Linked DNA regions of Caenorhabditis elegans. The protein of the gene in region 2 interacts with the protein of the main gene of each other region in a pairwise test. Each region holds a gene or a part of one and is shown on either strand. Other genes may lie near its edges. The genes, in order: arrd-7 and spig-10.

What was found.
Region 1: the proteins of spig-10 (region 2) and arrd-7 interact in a two-hybrid assay, tested with the Caenorhabditis elegans proteins (one large-scale study listed by BioGRID).

The regions. Positions count from the first base shown.
Region 1 is NC_003280.10:12,057,044-12,068,195, reverse strand, and holds arrd-7 (Arrestin C-terminal-like domain-containing protein), read left to right. Parts: upstream 1-5,574; 5' UTR 5,575-5,576; coding exon 5,577-5,752; intron 5,753-5,941; coding exon 5,942-6,047; intron 6,048-6,098; coding exon 6,099-6,261; intron 6,262-6,309; coding exon 6,310-6,419; intron 6,420-7,071; coding exon 7,072-7,486; intron 7,487-7,530; coding exon 7,531-7,715; intron 7,716-7,766; coding exon 7,767-7,871; 3' UTR 7,872-7,964; downstream 7,965-11,152. Other genes in the region: Y17G7B.22 (C2H2-type domain-containing protein), read right to left, coding at 28-93; arrd-8 (Arrestin C-terminal-like domain-containing protein), read right to left, coding at 628-1,161, 1,230-1,336, 1,906-2,071, 2,117-2,222, 2,930-3,111; nadk-2 (NAD kinase 2, mitochondrial), read right to left, coding at 8,426-8,637, 9,482-9,855, 10,762-10,935.
Region 2 is NC_003283.11:7,000,864-7,010,102, reverse strand, and holds spig-10 (Inhibitor_I29 domain-containing protein), read right to left. Parts: upstream 3,840-9,239; 5' UTR 3,763-3,839; coding exon 3,699-3,762; intron 3,656-3,698; coding exon 3,390-3,655; 3' UTR 3,285-3,389; downstream 1-3,284. Other genes in the region: C33G8.2 (Cylicin-2), read right to left, coding at 1-120; drd-10 (dietary restriction down regulated), read right to left, coding at 1,879-2,082, 2,217-2,270, 2,321-2,491; srab-4 (Serpentine Receptor, class AB (Class A-like)), read right to left, coding at 4,336-4,425, 4,473-4,733, 4,779-5,208, 5,747-5,952.

The DNA.
Region 1 (11,152 bases), on a different chromosome or scaffold from region 2:
TGTAATATTTAACCTCAAAAAACTTACCCGAAGTAATTCTTGAAGCTCAGCAATTTTCTTCTCAATTTCGTCTTTAGTCAACTTTGATGACATCATTCTAAAGAAATTAATTCAATCCCCAACAGAAGGCAACAGATTTTTTAAAGTTAAATTTCTCAAAAAGGACATCTGAAAAGTTGTTTCAAATTAGTCTTAATAAGAAGCGTGCAGCTAATGCTTTTCAAAAAAATTTATAATACAGTTGCATTAAAATTTGGATTTGTCTGAAAGTATTCGAAACAAAATTGTTTTATACAAGTTATCACTTAGGACAAATAAAATGCTTTTTTTTTATTCTAAAATTGGAAATACTGAGCACTCAAATTCAAATTCATTCATTGCATTAAACGTTTCAAAACGGAAAATACATTACTATGAAATACTTAAAGCAATCGATGAACTACGGGAGACGTTGTGCGAGAAGCGGATGTACGCAGAGACATAGAGAACAAAAGAATGCACATGCACATCTGCTCACTTAGCAGTCATGAAGCAAATCCGCCGGCACTACACTGATGTAATTAAACCGGCAAATTAAAAATTTAATTTACTGAAAATGAGAATTCGATATACACACACGAAAAAATGTTAAAAATGTTCTTCATTTTCATATTCCGGCGGTGGAGCACTTGCCTGAGAATCTTCTACAATTTGACTGAAGTTTTCATATTTAGGAGGAGCTTCCGTAATAGAATAGGCAATTGGTCTTGTGAATACTCCAATGGGAATTGTTCCAACAGTAATCGGAAGTTCACATCTCAATTTCTTATTCTCTCCGATATCCACAATAATACAATAGTCTACTTCAATAATTCCTGTTCGAAAACTAGGAACCAACTGATTCGGCAGAACAAGTGGCACATTTATTTGGCTATTTGAGCAAAATTCCACGTGACAACTCTTCTCAACTTTCGACATTGTGGTTTGAGCAGTTTTATGCTCACAATGTTTATGACAATGTTCTTCTGGAAATAGATGAGAATTCTCTTGTTGAGCCTGATAATGCACGTGCTGCTCCAATTTTGCTTTTATAGAATATATAGGCTTCTTCGTGTGATTTTGAATTAGAGCAGATACTTGGATGGTCTCTCCTGGGATGTATCCGGATTTTGGGATGGAGATCTGTAAATATTAATTTGTTAATTGAGTCATTATTTGTTATTAGCATGAAATAAAAAAAATTATGTTACCTTAACTTTAACCTCTTTGTTAGAAAATAATCCAGAATGCTTGCAAGAAGATACGATCATTGGATTGATTGTTTTTGGAATGGAGTTTAAATCGATAACCGGAATCACTGAAATATTCGAAATTAAATTTTAAATGTGATTTGCTTTTATAGATAAATTGCTAATGATTTCAAGCTTCAGTTTAGCCCAGACGGGGTTAAAATCAGGGCTCAGCGGCAAACGATTTTTCCGGCAAAATTAGCGAATTGGCAATTACCGAAATTGAAAATTTCCGGCAAATATAGCAAATTGACAATTTGCCCAATTTGCCGGAAAATCTGTATTTGCCGATAGTTGTGAGTTTTTCTGGAACTTTCAGAATTTCAGTTTTAAACGAAAAAATTGTACACATCCGATGAATAGCCTTACATCTATTTTTAAAAGTCAGTGAATTCTATGAGAATATCGTTAAAAAACGGGGGAAAATTTCAAAAAGGCACAGTTTCAAGTTTCCGTCTTCTCCGGCAAATTGTTATCCGGCAAACGGCAGATCGGCAATTGGCCGAAATTTAAAATTTCCGGCAAAAAAAGACAATTTGCGGATTTGCGAGATATTATATTTTGACACAAAAAATATTCACATTAAATCATGATTTCTTTTCTTTTTCAGGTCGTATCAAAATCGTTTCCAACTCACCAGAAAACACCCTCTTCGCTTCAACATTCATCCTCCATGGCCTATCTAATTCCACGTGTACCGAATATCGAACATTTCCATGCGTCCCTTCAAAACTCGGTGGTAGATTTGCAGGAAGTTGGAAGAGAAACGGAAATATGTTCACACCGCCAGGGATTTTATTGTTCTAAATGTGGTGTGTAAATATTAAAGTGTATTCAAATTTACTAACCGCGTTTTCAATGGAACTCCATGGCTGGGCGATTCCTTCCAAGACGTTTATCTTGCTAGTATAGTTGATATGTTCAGAGCTACGATACCATCGACCATGTCGGTCACTGAAAAGAAATATGGTGGTTAAAATCAGGGGAGCGCGGCAAATTTCAAAAAACTGGTTCAGCCGAATTCGCCGCGCTCGGCAAATTTTGAAATTTGCCGCACACATCACAAATAGGCTTTTTTTTCAAATTTGGCCAAAACTGTTGATTTTGTTCAAAAAATTATAGTAAAATAACATGAAGTTGAGTTCAAAGTTGTGCTAAAAATTCAGTAGTTTTGGCGCTTCTAGAAATATCAAAATGTTCTCATTTTTCGGAGTTTGCCCAGCACGGCAAGATTGCCCAATTTGCCCAATTAGCCAAGCTCGGCAAATTTTGAATGTACCTTTAAATAGTGGATAATCTGATTACTGTTTTGGAAAGGAGAGAGATGAATATCTGGCGGAAGTATTTAAATTTTGTATGTACCATAAAACGAGCGGCAATAATAATTTCATATATTTTTTAACGAAGCTTCTATTGGCGATTTTAGTTGTATTTTCATGTCATCAGAACTTATAAATTAGTAAGTAATCTTCCTCTACGTCACTTTCATTTCAGAACCTTACATATTGGCTCACTTCAAATGCCTAACCCCAAATTGAGAAATTCAGATTTTTCTGGAAAAACAACTCTGGCCGAAAACTTGAATTTTCTGAGAAATTTTTTTACTGAAACTCGTTTTTCTTGACTATTTTTTGAAATTTTAAATAGTCCCCAAAACTCACTATCTCCCTTTATTCTCAAATTTCCTCCACAACGTTTCAATATCTCCATGGATGCAAATTTTCAGAGCCAGTGCATTTAAAGCATTTCGATTTCTGATTGTTAGCTTCCCTGCTACATTCTGTCCAGGGGAGTATACAGCGGCAGGATGGTCGAATTCAATGAGAAATGTGGTGTCTCCCATTTTTTGTAAGTCTGACATGAAATTATACTATATTACAGCTTTACATCCAATATTTTTCTTTACAATTAGTTGATATAAATAAGTTCCGAATAAAAACTAGAAAAAAAATCTTAAAAAAGAAACAACTCAGTTCATTCCATTCTCTTATCAACTAATAACTTTTATTTATAAAACATGCACCATGTTTACGTCATGTTTTCTTGCCGGAAAATTGATAAAGTCTGAAAACGTGCAAAAACGTCATAGACAACGTACTTCATTGGTCTTTTTTTTCTTTTCAGTGCAAACTTTGAGCATGAATCAGAACAATATACTATTTATGGGTTATTTGTGTATTTATACTTTATGCGATGACGTGGTTCTTCACAAGTTTTTAATGTTAACATGGTTATTAAATATAAATCGGTGTGCTTTTTTTAAAAATTCGCTATGAATTGGAATTTATCGATTATATATTATTAAAGTTATTAAAGATAGTGTATTGTTAACGGGGTTTTGATTTAAGATACCCTGAAAAATCTAATTTTGGCTAAAATTTTGATATTCCATTTTTATTTTGAATTCGCTCCAAATTCAGAAGGCAAAATATATTTTAAAAAACTAACCAAAAAATTTACAGTCAATAGTTTTTTTGTTTAAATTGCTTTGGTTATGTTCGTGCAAAAAAAAAGTGTCCTGACTATAAAAATAGCAAATTTTCCGTACTTTCAAATGAATGTATGACCGTCTTTGTAGCTACGAAATTCATTTCAAAAAACCCGAAAAATGTTTTTTTTCAATTCCACCACCATAAAAAAAAGTTTGGAAATTATATTAGGTTCGCTATGTTTAATTGTGAGTAGAAAAAAAGTTTCCTGACTTGAAATATAGCAAATTTTTTTCTCTTTGAGAAAAATGATTTGTCGCGTTTAAACGCGACAAAACATAGTTCATAGTTGGCCAAAATGTTTTTTTGTAAGCTTAATAAATTCCTCTAATTATTTGAAACAGTTCCTACAAAACCGTTTTCATTTATTTTATATTTTAGAGCAAAAAAGTACGGCATATAACTTCTAGCTGGAGATTTAGGAGAAATTCAAATAGGAATTTTAGGAAAAAATTAAAAGCCTCCTTCCTCAAATTTTTTTTCAAATTTTTAGTTATTTTTGTTACTCAATTTCAACTCTAACTTCAAGATATTCTTCAAAATATGAGTTTTAAATTTTTATTTAGTTCTGGATTTTTTATGATTTTTTTTTCATTTTTCAAAGAAGAAAATGTATTGCATTCTAAATATTTTTACAGGAAAATTGAAAATTTTTCGCCGATTGCCATGTTACGTATTGGATTTTTTGTCGTTTTTTTCCAATTAAAAAAAAATAATTTTAGAGAAAAAAAAAACGAAAAATCAAAAGAGAATCAACTATGTGTAATTTTTTGACAAACTTTGCAAAAGTTTAGAAAAATTCTATAATTATTTTAACAATCTTAATTATAATAATAAATCATATTAATAATAATAAATTTTAACAATTTAACGGTCAATTTTTTAAATTTTAGAACAAAATTCCCCGAATCCGTTGATAAATTTCTTAAAATAAATTGAAAAATTAAATTCCTACATTTTGATCTATTCCATCCCATTTTACTACTTGTTTTTATGATTTTGGTCTCTAACACATTAAATACCATCCCAACATACAATATTTGTTCTTCCCCCCTCCTAGGTCTCTCAAAACAAATACTATCTAGGTGTCCAAAATGCATGCACATTTTGGAAAATTTCGCAAACCTAGTGACGGAATTTTCACCGTTTTTTGTTAGTCACCAAATAAGCTGGCTCTACTGATAAGTGCTATCATTGAATTTAATGTATTCTTGAGAGCAGTTTCATAATTATTTCAGTGTGCTGGAAACAACTTTTTGATTGTGATTTTATATTTCAGAATCGATATGATTTTCTGTTGATTTTTTTGTAATTTTTAATGTTTAAAGTTAGATTATTACGTCGAAAACATAAGCTTTGAAAAATTCCAGAAAAATTGGTATTATAAACTTTTGTTCAGGAGTTTTTAGCCAAAAATAATTAAATGTTTTCGCTACGAATTTTCAGTCTAAACTTACTAGTAAAGTTCTTCCAAAAACATTTTCAGCCAAAATTTTATAGCAAAGAATAATTCAGTCAAACCAGAAAATATTATTCTATACAAAATGCGCTATAAATATTTTCCACCTAGAAAATTTAATCAAAAATTTACAGACCAAAAATATTGCGATAAGCATTTTTATGCCAGGTTTCCAAGCCAATTTATTCAGTTTGATCTTGCTAGGCGAAAATTCAAAAAAAATTTTTAGCCCTCTAAAAACTTCAAAATGTTCAGCTTGAAAATTTCAGTCAAAATTATAATTTTGAAATTCTACGCATTTTTAAAAAATTCTCATACTATTAATTATGTCAGCTAATAATAATTAGAATATTACCAGAAATGGACGACTTGCGAATTGAGTACGACGCTCCGAACGATGTATACTTCCCAGGACAGGCTGTCACCGGAAAAGTAATCATACAGAATCGTGAATGGATCAAAGCGAGGTTTCTGAAAATTTGCATTCACGGAGGTGCACATACGCATTGGAGTGAAAGTCGCAGCACATATAGGACGTGAGTTTTATTTTTTGAATTTCTGATTTCAGCACTTTTTACTTGCTTCCCTTAATAGTCGTTTACCTAAAGACCATAATTCAATAAATAGTCACTAATCGGAAAAATACGATAGCTTGTCTTTTTTTTACTAGACTGCTTACCTGTAAAATAAACCCTTTGAACATCAAAAAACAAAATGCCTTTCAGAAACACACGTGGAGAAAGGGAACGATTCACGGAGAATGTGAACTATAACGCGACTATCAACTATTTGACCGGAGAATCGATTGCATGGCAGTCGAGAGATGGAACTGTGAGTTATTGGTTAAGCTGTCTTCACGCTTTCAACAAACTCTTGTTTCAGGACCGTCTTCCAGCTGGCACCAATGTCTTCCCATTTGCTTTTAACCTCCCCATCAATTGTGCGCCAAGTTTTGAAGGCTGTCACGGACATATTCGATACGATGTCCACGTGGAATTAGACAGACCATGGAAGTTTAATAAAAAGTCGAGGAAATGCTTTTCGGGTATATTCGTTTAATAACTTTGGGTTGAATCGAAAAATGTCGTTTCAGTGATTCCGGTGTTCGATTTGAACATAACTCCAACTGCAATAAACCCGATGGTGAATACTGCATCGAAGAATACTGGACTGATACTCAAAAAGGGATTAGTTACAATTACGGTAAGGGATTATCGAATTAAATTGAAGATAGGTAATGTGGTAGAAATGTTAATAATTTTTTTCACAGTTTTTTGTCTACTACTATAAATTAGCTACTAACTCAAAAACATCATAAAATAAAATAAAAACAACCTTTGTACGCTTCTCTTTATCAATTTGCAATAAAGCACCATTGACAAAATCTTATCATCACAAAACTTTTGGAGTACAAGTTTTTCATTATTGTGAATCCGATTTCAATACTTTTTGCTCACCAAATTACACAGAAATTGTCATAACCAAAAATTTAGAGGGTGGCATATAGAACTTGCACGCACTGTATATACTGACATTAATAAAAGAGTGTAGCTCTAAATACATCAATAATGGTGAAGAAATAATATTGAAACATACTAAATTGTTCAAAATGTAAAAAAGGGGTTATTTGAACACTAACAGATGGAATGCAAAGTTCAAATAGTAATCACTGACGCTTTATTCATGATGTATCATTAATGATTTGCTACTTAATTTTCATATTTGATAAAACCCAAAAAAAACACTTCCAACAAGTTTTCCTTGAAAGAATATAATACTTATTCTTCATCCTATAATCTACGTCTGAACTTTAAATGATATAACAGTTGAATACCATTATAGTATGAATCTTCAGGTAAACCTCCCAAAACGCGGCTACGTCGCCGGAGAAATCATGCCAATCACCGTAAACATCGATAACGGCTCAAAGGTTGCCGTCTCAGAAGTTAGCGCAAAAATGACACAGCTCTCGCATTTCCACGCAAGTCACGGCAACATGATCGGCGTCACAGCCCATACTCATAATCGTAACGACGAAAAGTTGGTTGCCGAATCGAGAAGAGTAGCTGATGTTCCAGCGAAATCCCGTGGGCAAATGGTTCTTTCGATGAAGATTCCAGCGATTGTTCCGTCTTTTAATTGTCCGATTATCGCCGTGGATTATTGTCTAACCGTTAAAGTTTCAACTCAACAGATTTTCGGAGGTGGCTTGAAATGTGAATTCCCATTGATCATTGGAACAATCCCAATTCGACAGATGAATCAAGCAGGCAATTTTTTTTTGAATTTTAATGGTATATCCTCTATCTTCCAGCTCCTGGAGCAATGCCAACTATGCCATCGGTCTCCGCTCCTCCATATCCTGTAGTCGCCGGAGCATCTGCGTCTCAAGCAGTCTACCCGACTGCTCCATCGGCCCCGCCAGCGTCTCCCGGAGGAGAAGCTCCTCCAAGCTATGAAGAGTCTGTACACGGAGCTGGGAAAGTTGAGGATGCAGAGGTAAGCTTCAAGCTTGAAATTCTCAGCAAAATGCTCACGGAAAACTTGCAGGCCTTCGCTCCTCGCTACCCAGTCTACAACAACTTGCCACAACAGCAAAATTCTCAACTTCCACCAGAATACGCACCTCCACTGCCAGCAAAAAGTGGATTTTAATTTATTTTAAATCGGTGGCCGAATTTACTGGTTTTTCTCGGCCATGTTCCGCAGTTTTGTTCCGACTTTTCAGATGATAATAAAAAAACGCTCCATTTTTTTGTGGACAATTTCCGAAAAATTTCCGAAAATATACAGAAAAAAATAATTTCAGGTTTTTTTAACCTCGCGAATTTTTAACGGTGATCACGCGGTTCTGGCTTCCCTCATCTTTTGAAATGGAAGAGTTTGCCGAACTAGGCCATTTTGGCTTGGCAATATCTGGGGTAGATTTACGGCGCGTTGCGTGTCGCGTCGCGGCTGGTTTTAGCTGTAAATTGTTTGATCGTGGCGAGACCCACTCTGAAAAATACCATGTGCCTTTAAGTACGAAATTTGGGGAAAAACGTTAAATCAATTTTTGCCAACATAAATTTGAATTTCGCGCCTAAAATTTTTTTAAACATGAAAAAACCAACAAAAAATCAATTAAATTTATTGAGGTCGTCATCATTATCCAAGCACATAATACTATACAAAATTTATAATTTAAATTCGAACAAAAAAAAGGTAATTTATCGGAATACAACCGTACGCAACGTATCCTCATCCCGAACCTCCATCACCGCCTCGGATCCATCGTTAAATCGATACGAGATGCCTCCGTCAATGACCAAATGAGCATCGTAACCGCGGCTCTTGATGCAAATTTTATCGGCGAATCCCCGTGGATCGGTTGGTGGGAACGTCGCGTTGAAGATCGGATCACGGACTGAGAATGCGAGTTCTGAAAAATTAGAGAAAAATTGATTTTGAAAAAAATTTAAATTTTAAGCAAGGAAATCTGTTTTTCGGAATTTTCCTTCTTTTTTTTTTGGAAAATCCACCTAATTTTTCGCCTTAAAAATTAGGGATTTTTTTTTCGAAAAAATACAATTAAAGAAGTCGAGAAAATTTCGAAAAATCTACATTTTTTCCAGATTCTTAATGCTAGGTTTTGAGAGAATTTTTTTTTTAATTCCAAAAACATTTTTTTTGGAAATTTTCAGGATTTTTTTTCGATTTTCCTTGAAAAATAATTTAGTTTTGTTTATATTTCTTTATTTTTAGGCTTTTTTTTTTGGAAAAAATACCAAATTGTCCATGTTTATCCAAAAAATTGTGGAAATTATTTAGAATAACTAAAACTTTCAAATTTTGGAATTTTTAATTTTGGAAAGAAATCTGAATTTTAAATCTAGGTTTTGAGAATTTTTTAAAAAATTCAACAAAAAAATTAATTTCCAATTAAATAATTTTTCCAAAAAAAAAAGTTTTTTAGAAAATTATATGAAAAATTTCTAAAACTTCAAATAGTTTCGTTTAAAAAAAATTGAAAACTCGGATAATTTACAAAAAATCTTGAATTTTTATTGTAAATCTTTTTTAAAAAACAAGAAAAAATTTAAGAAATTCTGGAAACTTTTTTTTTTTTTTTGAAAAAAAAAACTGAAGTTTTTTTCAATCCAAGAGCAAGAAAAATCCAGAATTTTTATGATTTTCCGAGGAAAAAATATCCAGAAATTTTTGATTGAAAAAAACTAAAAATTGAAATTTTTGAGTTGAAATTTAAAAAAAGTATAATCCCTTACGTTTGCGATCAGGATCAAAAATCAATTGTTGATTAAATTTCGTGCAAATCTCGCTAACAGCATTCTTATCCCCATGCGGGATCTGTGGCAGATTACAGTGCTCCGCAACAATTTTCATCAAATCCTGAACGCATTGCTCGGTGAGCTTATTGATATTGAAATTCCACGACGTGGAGCCCGTTCCTGTACAAATCGTGATTCCCGAACTCTTTTGTTTGAGCATTTGAGCATCGTTAATTCCAATTTCATAATATGACACACGTGATGATAGACTTTCACCAATGAATACTTCGTTGAGTGCAAGAACCGGTAGTTCTACTGTCTCTTTTTCCACTTCTGGAATTTCGACGGCTTCTGAGATCATTCGTTTTTTGCTGAAAATTCGGAGATTCTTTTTTCAAACTATATTATATTTTAATTTCCGCGCAAATGAATTTTTAAAAAACATTTTCGCGTTTTCCGAAGCATTTTTTTATTATTTTCAGACATTTTAAAGGTTCTATCGGAATTAATTTTTAAACTAATACTTTTAATTTTTTTAATTTGAAAATGTATCAGATGTTTTTGAAAAAAATTTATTTAGCTTTTTTTGTAAATTTGATTTTTCTTTGCAAATAGGTAATCTGTACATTTTTCTGAAAATTCGAAAATAGTTTTTTATTTAAAAAAATTGAAAAAAGGTTTTTCCGATTTTTTTTATTAATTGAATTTTTTAATTAAAAAAATTAGGTTTTCACTAATTTTTGAATAAAAAATTTCCATAAACTAAAAAAAAAGGTTTTCTAATTTTTTAATTTTTTTTTTGATTTTCAAACTTTTAAAAATAAAAATAAAAGGTTTTTCCTATTTTAAATTAAAAATTTTGAATTAATTAAAACAAGGTAATTTCCTAATTTTTATATTCAAAAAAAATTTCAAAACTTGAACAAATTTAATTTTTTAATTTTGAATTTAAAAAAACAGTTTCCTTTATTTTTTGAAATAAAAAATAAAGAAAAAATATGAAAATAATGTAATTTCTAAATTTTTTAAATTTAAAACAATTGTTAAAATGCCAAAAAAGTTGGTTTTCCTAATTTTTTTTCAATTAAAAAATTTTTAAATTAAAAAAGGTGTTTTCCTAATTTTTATTTATTTTTTCAAACTGTACGTTTTAAAATATTTTTTTCTATTTTTTTAAACAAAAAAACAAACTTTTTTCCGTTTTTTTTCGAAATAAAAAAAATTAAAGAATACTTTTTCAATTTTCGCAATAATTTTAATATACTCCACCAACTCACACAGGTGGCGATAGTGACATGCATTCCTCAATTTCACGTGCAGGACTACGTGGATTGTCTGTCCAGCGGGTCGTTGCCGGATCTCTGTTCAGTTGCTGATCGTGCAATTCGATAGCATCACTGATTCCGTCGTCTCCGGTAACTGTGATACGGATGCGTTGACGATTGAGCCATCTGAAATAATTTTGGGGTTACAGGTACTGTCGCGAAGTCGGTGAATACAAAGATTCACTCGCTCACGACTTATTAATAAATCTAGGGATTTATTAACAAATGATTAAATGTAAAGATTGACTCATTGCTATTACGTAACACTTGCTCTTCAACACTCAACATCATCTCTTCAATCAACGGCAACAACCAGGCGAAAGGACGGCGTCAAAACCCCAAT
Region 2 (9,239 bases):
ACTTCCCATCTTGACAAGATCAGTTTTAGTTTCAACTTCTGCATTTAAAGAATCCTGATCAACCGGATAACAGTAGGCAACGCCAATAATGGCAAGGATAAGTATAGGTAATGTCCGCATGTTAGAAGAATACCTCCCAAAAAATGGATAGTTACTTTTATAGTGGAGAAAGATCACGAATTGATAAAGATGATATCGAACTAGAGATTTTGATGTTGAAAAAAGTTTTCTTTTCATTTGACAAAGTCGGGACAGAAGACACAAGACAGGAGATGAAGAACTTTACAAAACAGATTTTTGATATGAAGTTCGACAAAATTTCAAACCCACTTGAAATGAAATGAATCGAAAATGAATCATTCATGCATTTCTTTTGAATCTGAATTATTATGAGTCAAAAATCGAAAGGAAATTTCCATTCAAGTTTACAATGAAACAGCATTAATGACTTTTTTTGTCAAATTGGTAATGTTGATATTTTTGTTCATCGCTATCTACAGTATTTTTTAAAAATTGAAATGACCACATGACTAATGTTCTAATTGTAAGTTTTTTTTTTTAATTTTACAAAATAGGTTATGTGTATGTAAACAGTTAATTATCGATTGTTGTATCAAAAATACAATGTGAAAATTATTTTTTTCGATAATTTGAAAACAATCATCAAAAATGAGATTTAAAAACTGTGTTATAGAAGTGGCTCTCGCAACTGAACCTGAGTGCAACACCAATAGATAATGCAGGTTTAAATTTTCAACAATGTTTGAGGTGCAATACTAATAAAAATCTGTTATTTATTTATTTTCATTAGCGAAAAAATATCGGAGAGAAACATAATATTGAATTAAAACGGAAACTAAAAATGATTTTTCTGAAAAATTTTCGGATTCAAAAATCTTGGATCAACTGAATTTTTGGTTATTCTCTGGTGCTATTTATGTGGTCTCGAGCTGTCAATCACATCGATAAAACAACTTTGAACCAAGAATCGAATAGTTCAACCTTTTGAACTCCACCGATACTTTACGAATGCTTTTTCAAAAAAAAAAATTTAAAGAGTGTGGATTGGACAGAGAGTCTAGAGCTGACCGAGAACACAAGGTTTCAAGGTCCATGATTTCTTGAGCGTCAACTAGAAGATAGTTTTGAAAAATATAATGACAAGAAGCAACTGTCGTGAATTTTTTTATAAGCAGCACAAGACAGAAAATAGATCGGGCTCTGTATTGTATAAAAGGGATAATTTTAGATCGTTTTTTTTTACCTTAACTTTACAAAACAGGTTTTTTTCAGTTAAATATTGTTCTGAGCAGTTGTGTTTCACCATATTTTTCAATTTTTTAAAACTTTCTAAGGTGGAATACAGCAATCTTAGACGTTGCGTTTTGAGACCTAAAGCAGGCCAGAATTACCGAATTTCGTAGTGAGACGCTCTGAACATTTCTTGATCTAAAAAGTCATGGTGGTTCAAAGTTGTGGAAAAATACCTATTTTCACTACGCAAATTTTGGCAACTTTTCAGTTCCGCAACGGATAATTTATCAAAACATAAATTAAAGAGCGATGAAAAAATGAAAACTCCAAAAGTACTTTGTTTTTTTTTTAATGTTCGATCCAAAGTCTGGCCTTTCCTCCATTTTCAGAAGTAATTGAATCTGACTTTGCTAACTGTTTTTTTAAAGAAAAATAATGATTTAATTTTAATTGTTTGCCTCTCAAAAATGTGCACATCTACAAATCAAATCTATTGATTCAAATTAAAATATCGAATTCCGTGAAATTACTACATAAATTTAAGTTTGTAGAATTTCAAAGGTTTATTATTGATGTCGAAATGATAATACAAGAAACTACTATTCACATGAAAAGTAAAGCTGTTCAGTTTTTTCTCTTGTTCTTTCTCTTCTTGTTTTCCTCTTCGGATTCATCGCTGCTATCATTCTTCTTCTTTTTATCCTTTTTCTTGTCCTCTTCCTCTTCACTATCCTTATTCTTCTTCTTGTCCTTCTTCTTCTTATCCTTATCCTCTTCCTCCTCCTCGTCCTCGTCCTTCTTGTTTCCCTTCTTCTTATTCTTCTTCTCCTGAAATTAAAAATAAATAAAGATGAGTTTAAAACATACTATTAATATAAAACATAAATTTCATGTGTTATACAATTTTTTATAAAATATTTTTAAGCAAACCAAGTCAACTTTAATACGCTTTAATTACTTACACGTTTTTCCTTATTCTCTTCAATCTTGTCCTTGATCTTCTCGACCTTTTCCATCTGAAATTTTGAATTTTCATTAGTTACCATCAAATATGGTAGTAACTCACGATTTCATCCAACTTCTTCTCAAGTTTATGATCACTTGCTCTCTTCACTCTGTCCAACTCAGCTCCCTCCATCTCGGCAACATCCGATTCCAAATCGACATTGTCCTCGTTCAATGGATAACAGTAGACAACGCCGACTATGACAAGAAGAAGAATAGGAAGTGTTCTCATGTTTAAACTTTCTTATTATATTTTGGTTCTATCAGACTCTTTTATAGGATGACCGGGCCGAAGGCATGAACCGAAATTGTTCGCCATCGATATCAATTTTGAGATCTCGATCAGAAAAAATTTCGTGTTTTTCAAATGAACTGCACAAGACACAAACTTGATAGAAAAATATGAACAAAAGTAGGAGATCAAGAAACTAAATCAAAATCTTCAGCCTGTAACACCACTGGGAGCGTATTGAACGTTTGTTTCCGTTACATTTTTTAATTCTGAATAATCTTGTGACATCCGAATAAATAATTATATTCATCTTTATGCGAAGTTATTTGTTTTTTGAAAATTTATTCACTTATTTAAAAATCGTGAAGAAACAAACTGATATAGCAAGCGAAAAGTCCTAAAACCCTTTTTCTGAACCACTTCGGAAGTGCTGCTTCCGAATGCGCTTACAAATGTCCACTGCTATATTGATTTGCGCTTTAAAAAATTAAAATTTCTCTCGCTTTTGCGTTTCATTATTTGGTGTATGCAAGGCTTGAACAAAATTAAATCATAAACTAAAATAAAAATAAGCTTGAAACGCCTGTCCGCATTCCCGAGGTGGAGATGTTTCATAAACTTTCACTTAATATTAAAAAAAACTATTTTTGTAAGAAGGGCTTTTTGCTTGAATTTGTGATGGGAGAAGTCTTAAAACCTTGGGCAAAGGCTTCGAGATTTAAATTCTAAATATTCGACTCAAGCCATTTTTTACCATTATACAAAACTCCCTGGTTCTCTATCTTCATATAAATCTGAATATGTAGTACTTTATCCAAATAATTAATTTTAGAAGACATATAAATGACAAATACTTTCTCAGCAGATTATTAACCAAATATAGATCTTCCATGATTATCTAAGCCTTTGGTGTACTGTTACGTTTTTGAAGCTCGGCCTTCTTCTTATCAACAAATGCCTTGTAAGCAATCTGGTCGTCTTCCGATTGTGTTTCCATGTACTTATCAACCTCTGCGTGGAATGTGTGAAAAACATTCTTTCCAGCTTCCCGATCACCTTTTGCTGCCTCGAATTGGCCCTTGTAGGTCTCCGCAATCTTTAAAATTCCATCAGCGGCGGCCTCAGAGACACCGGCGGCAACTACTTCAGCTTTTGCTTCCTCGGCTGAATTATTTTATTTTTAGATCTAAAACTGAATGCAACAAACCTGTTGGAGCTCCTGCATAGACAGAAATTGCCGTAAAAAGGAGGGCGACGAGAAATCGGCACATTGTCCGGTTAAACAGAAATGGTAGAAATGGTAGAAATGGTAGAATGAAGGAGAATGAAAAGGATAATCTGACGATATGAGGGTTATATTTGATGATGGTATGTGTTTGATTTGATCCGAACTAGTTTTTAAGTTGAATTATTTTTTATTGGTAGTGATCATTTCAAAGATCGAACTCTTCGAACTCGTAGTGTGTGAAAAGTTTGATGTTGGAAACGTGATTTAAAATCTCTCAGGACCTTGTGTATCAAAATAACTTTTACTTTAGATTAAGTAACAAATTTGTTTAGTGCATCGTGATTTCAATTTATTACAATTGTCAAGTTCCAGATTTTGAATAATATTTTCCAAGTTGCACTTCCGGGTTTCTGGCAACATTTATCATCTAATTAATTTTAGGTTAATTAAACAAATTGCTTTGAATACTCCTGTTGCAACAACTACAGAAAAAGTAAGAAAAAAAATGTTCTCCAAAAAAAATTAGGAAGACCTTTTAGTCTTCATTTATCACAATACATTGGTAATGAAAATGTTCACAGAACAAAAATAAAATAAAATAAAATATGTACGTGGCTTAACCAATTTGTTTTTTGAATTCGATCAGATAACGACTCGGATCCATCTGCATGCTTTTTGTGAGTGATGTCTTTTGCTTTGAGTCAAGCTGAAAAATTTAAGATTAACATTACTTTCTAACTAGAATTGATTTACCTTTTTCAAAGAAAAATAAATGTAAATTGAAAGTAGAATTCCATAAGTTGGAATAAAATGAATCACTTCCACGAGAGCAAAGTACGTTGGTCTGCTCATTTTACTCGAATTAAAATGTAATGAAGTTCCAATAAACGAGAAAAAGAAAAATACGAAACAATTGGCGTTAATGAACATATTCAGTGCTTTTATAGATCGAATTCCTTGCTCCAAAGTATACCGAGTGCTCAGTGTTTGTAGTTTCTGGGTGTTTCTCTTCCTCTGAAAACTGATTTTATTTGATTCTTCAATGTCAAAGATACTTACTTTAGTTTGCACTCCGATGTACCAAAACGCCAATCTACATACACACTGAGCAATCATAACTGCATATAGTGGAGCATTAATTGTCCAGACGGATCCGTGACCGGAAGCTAGAGTCTGACAATAATAAAGAGTAACATTTGGGACTGGTGTAAATGAGGCATCAAAGTAGAGTTTAAACAAGAATGCAAATGCGAGGAAAAGTTGAAGAAATCCTAGAAGAACACCGAATCCTCTTCCACACATTTCATAAGTCGAGTTATAGTGAAGTGCTATTGCTCGTTCGATGACAAGACTTGTTGAGCACATTGCTGCAAGCGCCATTCCAAAGTTATAAAGTCCTCGAACAACAAGACATCGATAGAAATCGGGTAGAGCATCACAACCAGTATTTGAAAAATAGTTTATGAGGTCCAGGGAATGAAGAGCAAATCTGAAAAAAAAAACCAAATTAAACTGTTTATCCATATAGAAATATAAATATTTGTAGTCCCTAAATAACAAACTGTCGTTTTTTAATAAATTCGAACACGTGCCCAAATACTAGAAAACAATAATTTAACTGACTAACTCCAAATTGCTACTAACTTCTTTTTGCCATTCTAGCGTATCATTATGAAAAATGGAAGAGTGACAAAAATAATTTTGGGAGGTTCAAAATGTGGCAACCATTATTGGTGTCTCACGTGCTGGCTTTTTTTGCACAAAGATAATTTGAAACGATAAAACTGAAAAAGGATATCCTAGATTATTACCACATTAAAAAAAAATCATTTTCGAACGCCGAACATTTTTGTTCGCACCATTAGCGTAACGCGTAAAACTGTCCCCTAGATTTTTAAACTGAAATATGAAAAAAAAGTAATATTACAGTATTTCATTAATTTTAAAATTCATTAATTAGAAACAATTTTTCAGGACAGAATTTAACATCTCAATTATTTCCCAAACGAATTCAAAAAACAACTCACCTTCCTGTGGAATGAACCAACAATGCAAATATGTGAACTTTAATCTGAATCCTTGTATTCCGATGAAACAGTTGCTGAGAATTTATATAGTGTAAAGCAGTTAACAGAACTGGAAACGAGATTATCGTGATGCCGAGATTCACAAAAAGGGATAGCCGGAGCCACAAAGATGTGGTCATATCTGTCATCTGCTCGCAGTCCGACATTCTGAAACATTAATTCTTGAGTGGAAAATTTGATAGAAGAAAATGGAAATTGAAGGACAAAATTGATAGACTACCATCAAATTCTTAATTAGATACCAGGTTTTCAAACTTTTATTTATGGAAAAAGAAACGGAACTTGGCCGAAAATATCTTTTTCAAGGTAAAGTAGACTAGGTAATTGAGAATAACAAAATTATTCCAGCATATATGCTTTCATTTTGCACCTAGTTCTTTTGAGCAATTTGTGAGTCTAGTTTAACATGCTGATACTTGTACATAGAAAGAGAACAAAAATAAAAATAATATATCGGAAACAATATTTTTTAGAAATTAAAAATCAACTTGTATAGTTGAAAAGTGAGACACTAAATAGAGAATTTTCATGAGCCGTTAGTCGTATGATTTCCACTAATCAACGTCCAATTTGTACACTTTTGGGACTTTGGGAATTGGCGATGCTCACGTAGAGATGTAGAAAGAAGAATAGATATCCATGTGTGGGAGTGCTGTGGAATGAAAACCTTCTTGAAGGTAAAAGAGAGGACAATAGAAAGGAAACGAGTAAGAAATACTGAACTCTCGGGTTTGCACAGAGTCCAATTGCTACTAGATGCGACTGGTTTCCGGGGGAAGATCTCAAACAATATGTGAAGACCAAAAAGTGGTGTCACGTGTGGGTTGGAAACGGAAACAGGACGGGTGCTAGAAAATTTAAAAAGAAACAAAAATAAGAAGATGAAGTTGAGTGCTTTTCTAGTACTTGCCACGCGGAATTTTAAATGAGCAGCTTCAGCAATGTTATACATAGCCGCACATTTGGTTGTCCCCTTGTTTCGAAAATCATCTATGAGATAGAGATGGCTAATTCGAAATTTCTCCTTTGAGAAACATGGATCAAAAGGTCACGAGAAAAAGAGGAGCGGAAACATTTTCAAAAGAAAAAAAAAGAAAACAGCCACATTCGAGATATCTGTTTTTCCTCATTTTCAACCCTCCCAAATTGACGTTTTGGCGTGAGTGAATGCTTTTTCGAATGTGAGCAAACAAATGGAACGGAGAGAAATCAGAACAACTGATAATCAAAAAAACTGAACACGGGGGATTGGTTCGTGTGCGATACCTATAAATTATTATTATCCATGACTAAATTTCTGAAATTTAACAATTTTATGAAAATGCATCACGATTCCCAATATAAAAATCGATTTAAAAAAAATCGAAATTTAATCAGCTGAAAATAACATTGAAATTCTAGATTTTGGGTTAAATCATACTATTGCTATTTGAAAATTCATGCTAAATAATAATACATATTATTTAAAAATAGTCACCAATTAATAGTACCAAAATCCGCAAGTTTCTTTTAAGTTTTCGGAAAAAAGTTAAGTTAGATGTTAAGCTCACATTTTCAGGTCCCATGGTACGCGTAGTTGGTTTCCTAGTGAGGTAGGCAGGCGTTTTTTTTTAATAGACTGCGGTATTGAGAAAACATTTTTTCATATCTGATGAGTTGGAAATGATAGCGTGATTTGTTTTTTGAATTTAATTAATTATATGCTGGGAGTATCAAAAAGCCTGTTCATCAAAAATCTTGTTTTTGTACATAATAGTTGAAAATAGTTGAAAATTAATTAATACTGTTACTTTAAAAATCTAAAAATTACTAAAAAACAAAAAAAAAATTTTGAAACAAATAAAGAAAAACAAAGCCTAAAAAAATAAACTTGAAAAAAAGGTCAATAGATAATTATTTGAAGCTCCAGCATTTTTCCATTTTTAGGAAGTGATTATTTTGTGTTTGAAAAATGCTAAAGAAAAGTTAGAAATCATCAAAAATTTTGCAGAACTAGGTGGCAAACTTACATTTTCAATTACAAAAAACTATTCTTCTCTTTCTTTTTTACAGAGGATTAGGAAAATATTGAATGGAGCTACCAGCCTAAAAGCATTTCGAAAAAAATGTTAGCATACAATTGAAAAGACTAAAACACATTTGTTTGGGGGTTTACCAAATGGTTTCAAAAGATCACATGGAATGAAACCTAACACCTACAAAAACTTTACACGGAAAACAAATGAAGCATCAGTTTACATGTACCTGAAGGTGTTGAGCAGAAAACCAGGGCATTCCTGATCACCAGGTTCGTAGAAAAGGAAGTTTCTACTTTTCAGACGTAATTGAAAAACAACTGATTTGCGATGATCTACGCTACAACGGCAAATGTTTAATTCAGTAGAATTATTGCAAAATGCACGATTTGAATATTAAACTTCGAGTATTGTTCAGAAAAAAATGACGATTCCACATTCTGTTGCATATCTTTCTTTGAAAAAAGTAGTAAACTTTGTGAGCAAGCACTAATCCTTTGCCAAAAGTTCATTCATCACTCATCCATGGACTTAGTGGCTGTGTAGGACCATTCTGTCTGCCGTTATCTTCATTTTGTTTTGCAACAAAACGTAAATATTGACATTGTGCTCATCGTTGTTTTTTTTGAAGAAGCTTATTTTGTGGCTTCTCTCACGGTATAACACTAGACATTGTTTTTTAAACAGAGACAGTGAGCAATATACCAGATCAGAAAGTCCATTGATTTATGAGCGGGTCATGAAAAAATGAAACATCATTCTAACCTTCAAATTTCACCGCATGGCGGAAAACTAACTTCATTGAATATTCACAACGTTTCTTCGCGTGAACGATTTCCAGAACCAAGGTCAAAGTGCAAAAATTGAAAAAAAAAACTTAATAAACCACAAACACAGCGGTAAACATCTCGAATATTCATGGATGTTTCATATGTGAACATTTTACATCTTGTTAAAGTTCAAGACAGTTTGACAACTTGAAACTATTTCTATAGCTCTACAAACGCCCAAATAGTATTTGAAAAAATATTTAAAAAAAAACCCCCTTTTTTTTGCTATTTTTTATTTGCAAAAGTGTTTTTTTTTTACTTTGTTCCAAGTATCTTTATTTAAACATTATAGGGATTAAAAAATGGGACGCTGTTCAACATTTGTAAAAAAACACACATTGTTATTATTGTATTATAAATTGTAATATTGTATTGTAAACTATATTGTAAACTAAAATATATTGCAAACATATTGTAAACTTGGCAGTTGACCAAATATTAAGCGAACATTTTCAAATAGCTTGTAAAGTGTGAAGTGTTACAAAATTTGGTAATTTAGGATCAATTTCAAAAAAGAATTTTTTACAACTAGAATTGGGCAATAGTCGAAATTCCCATTGCGTAATATTTCTTGGCCATTTTTAATTA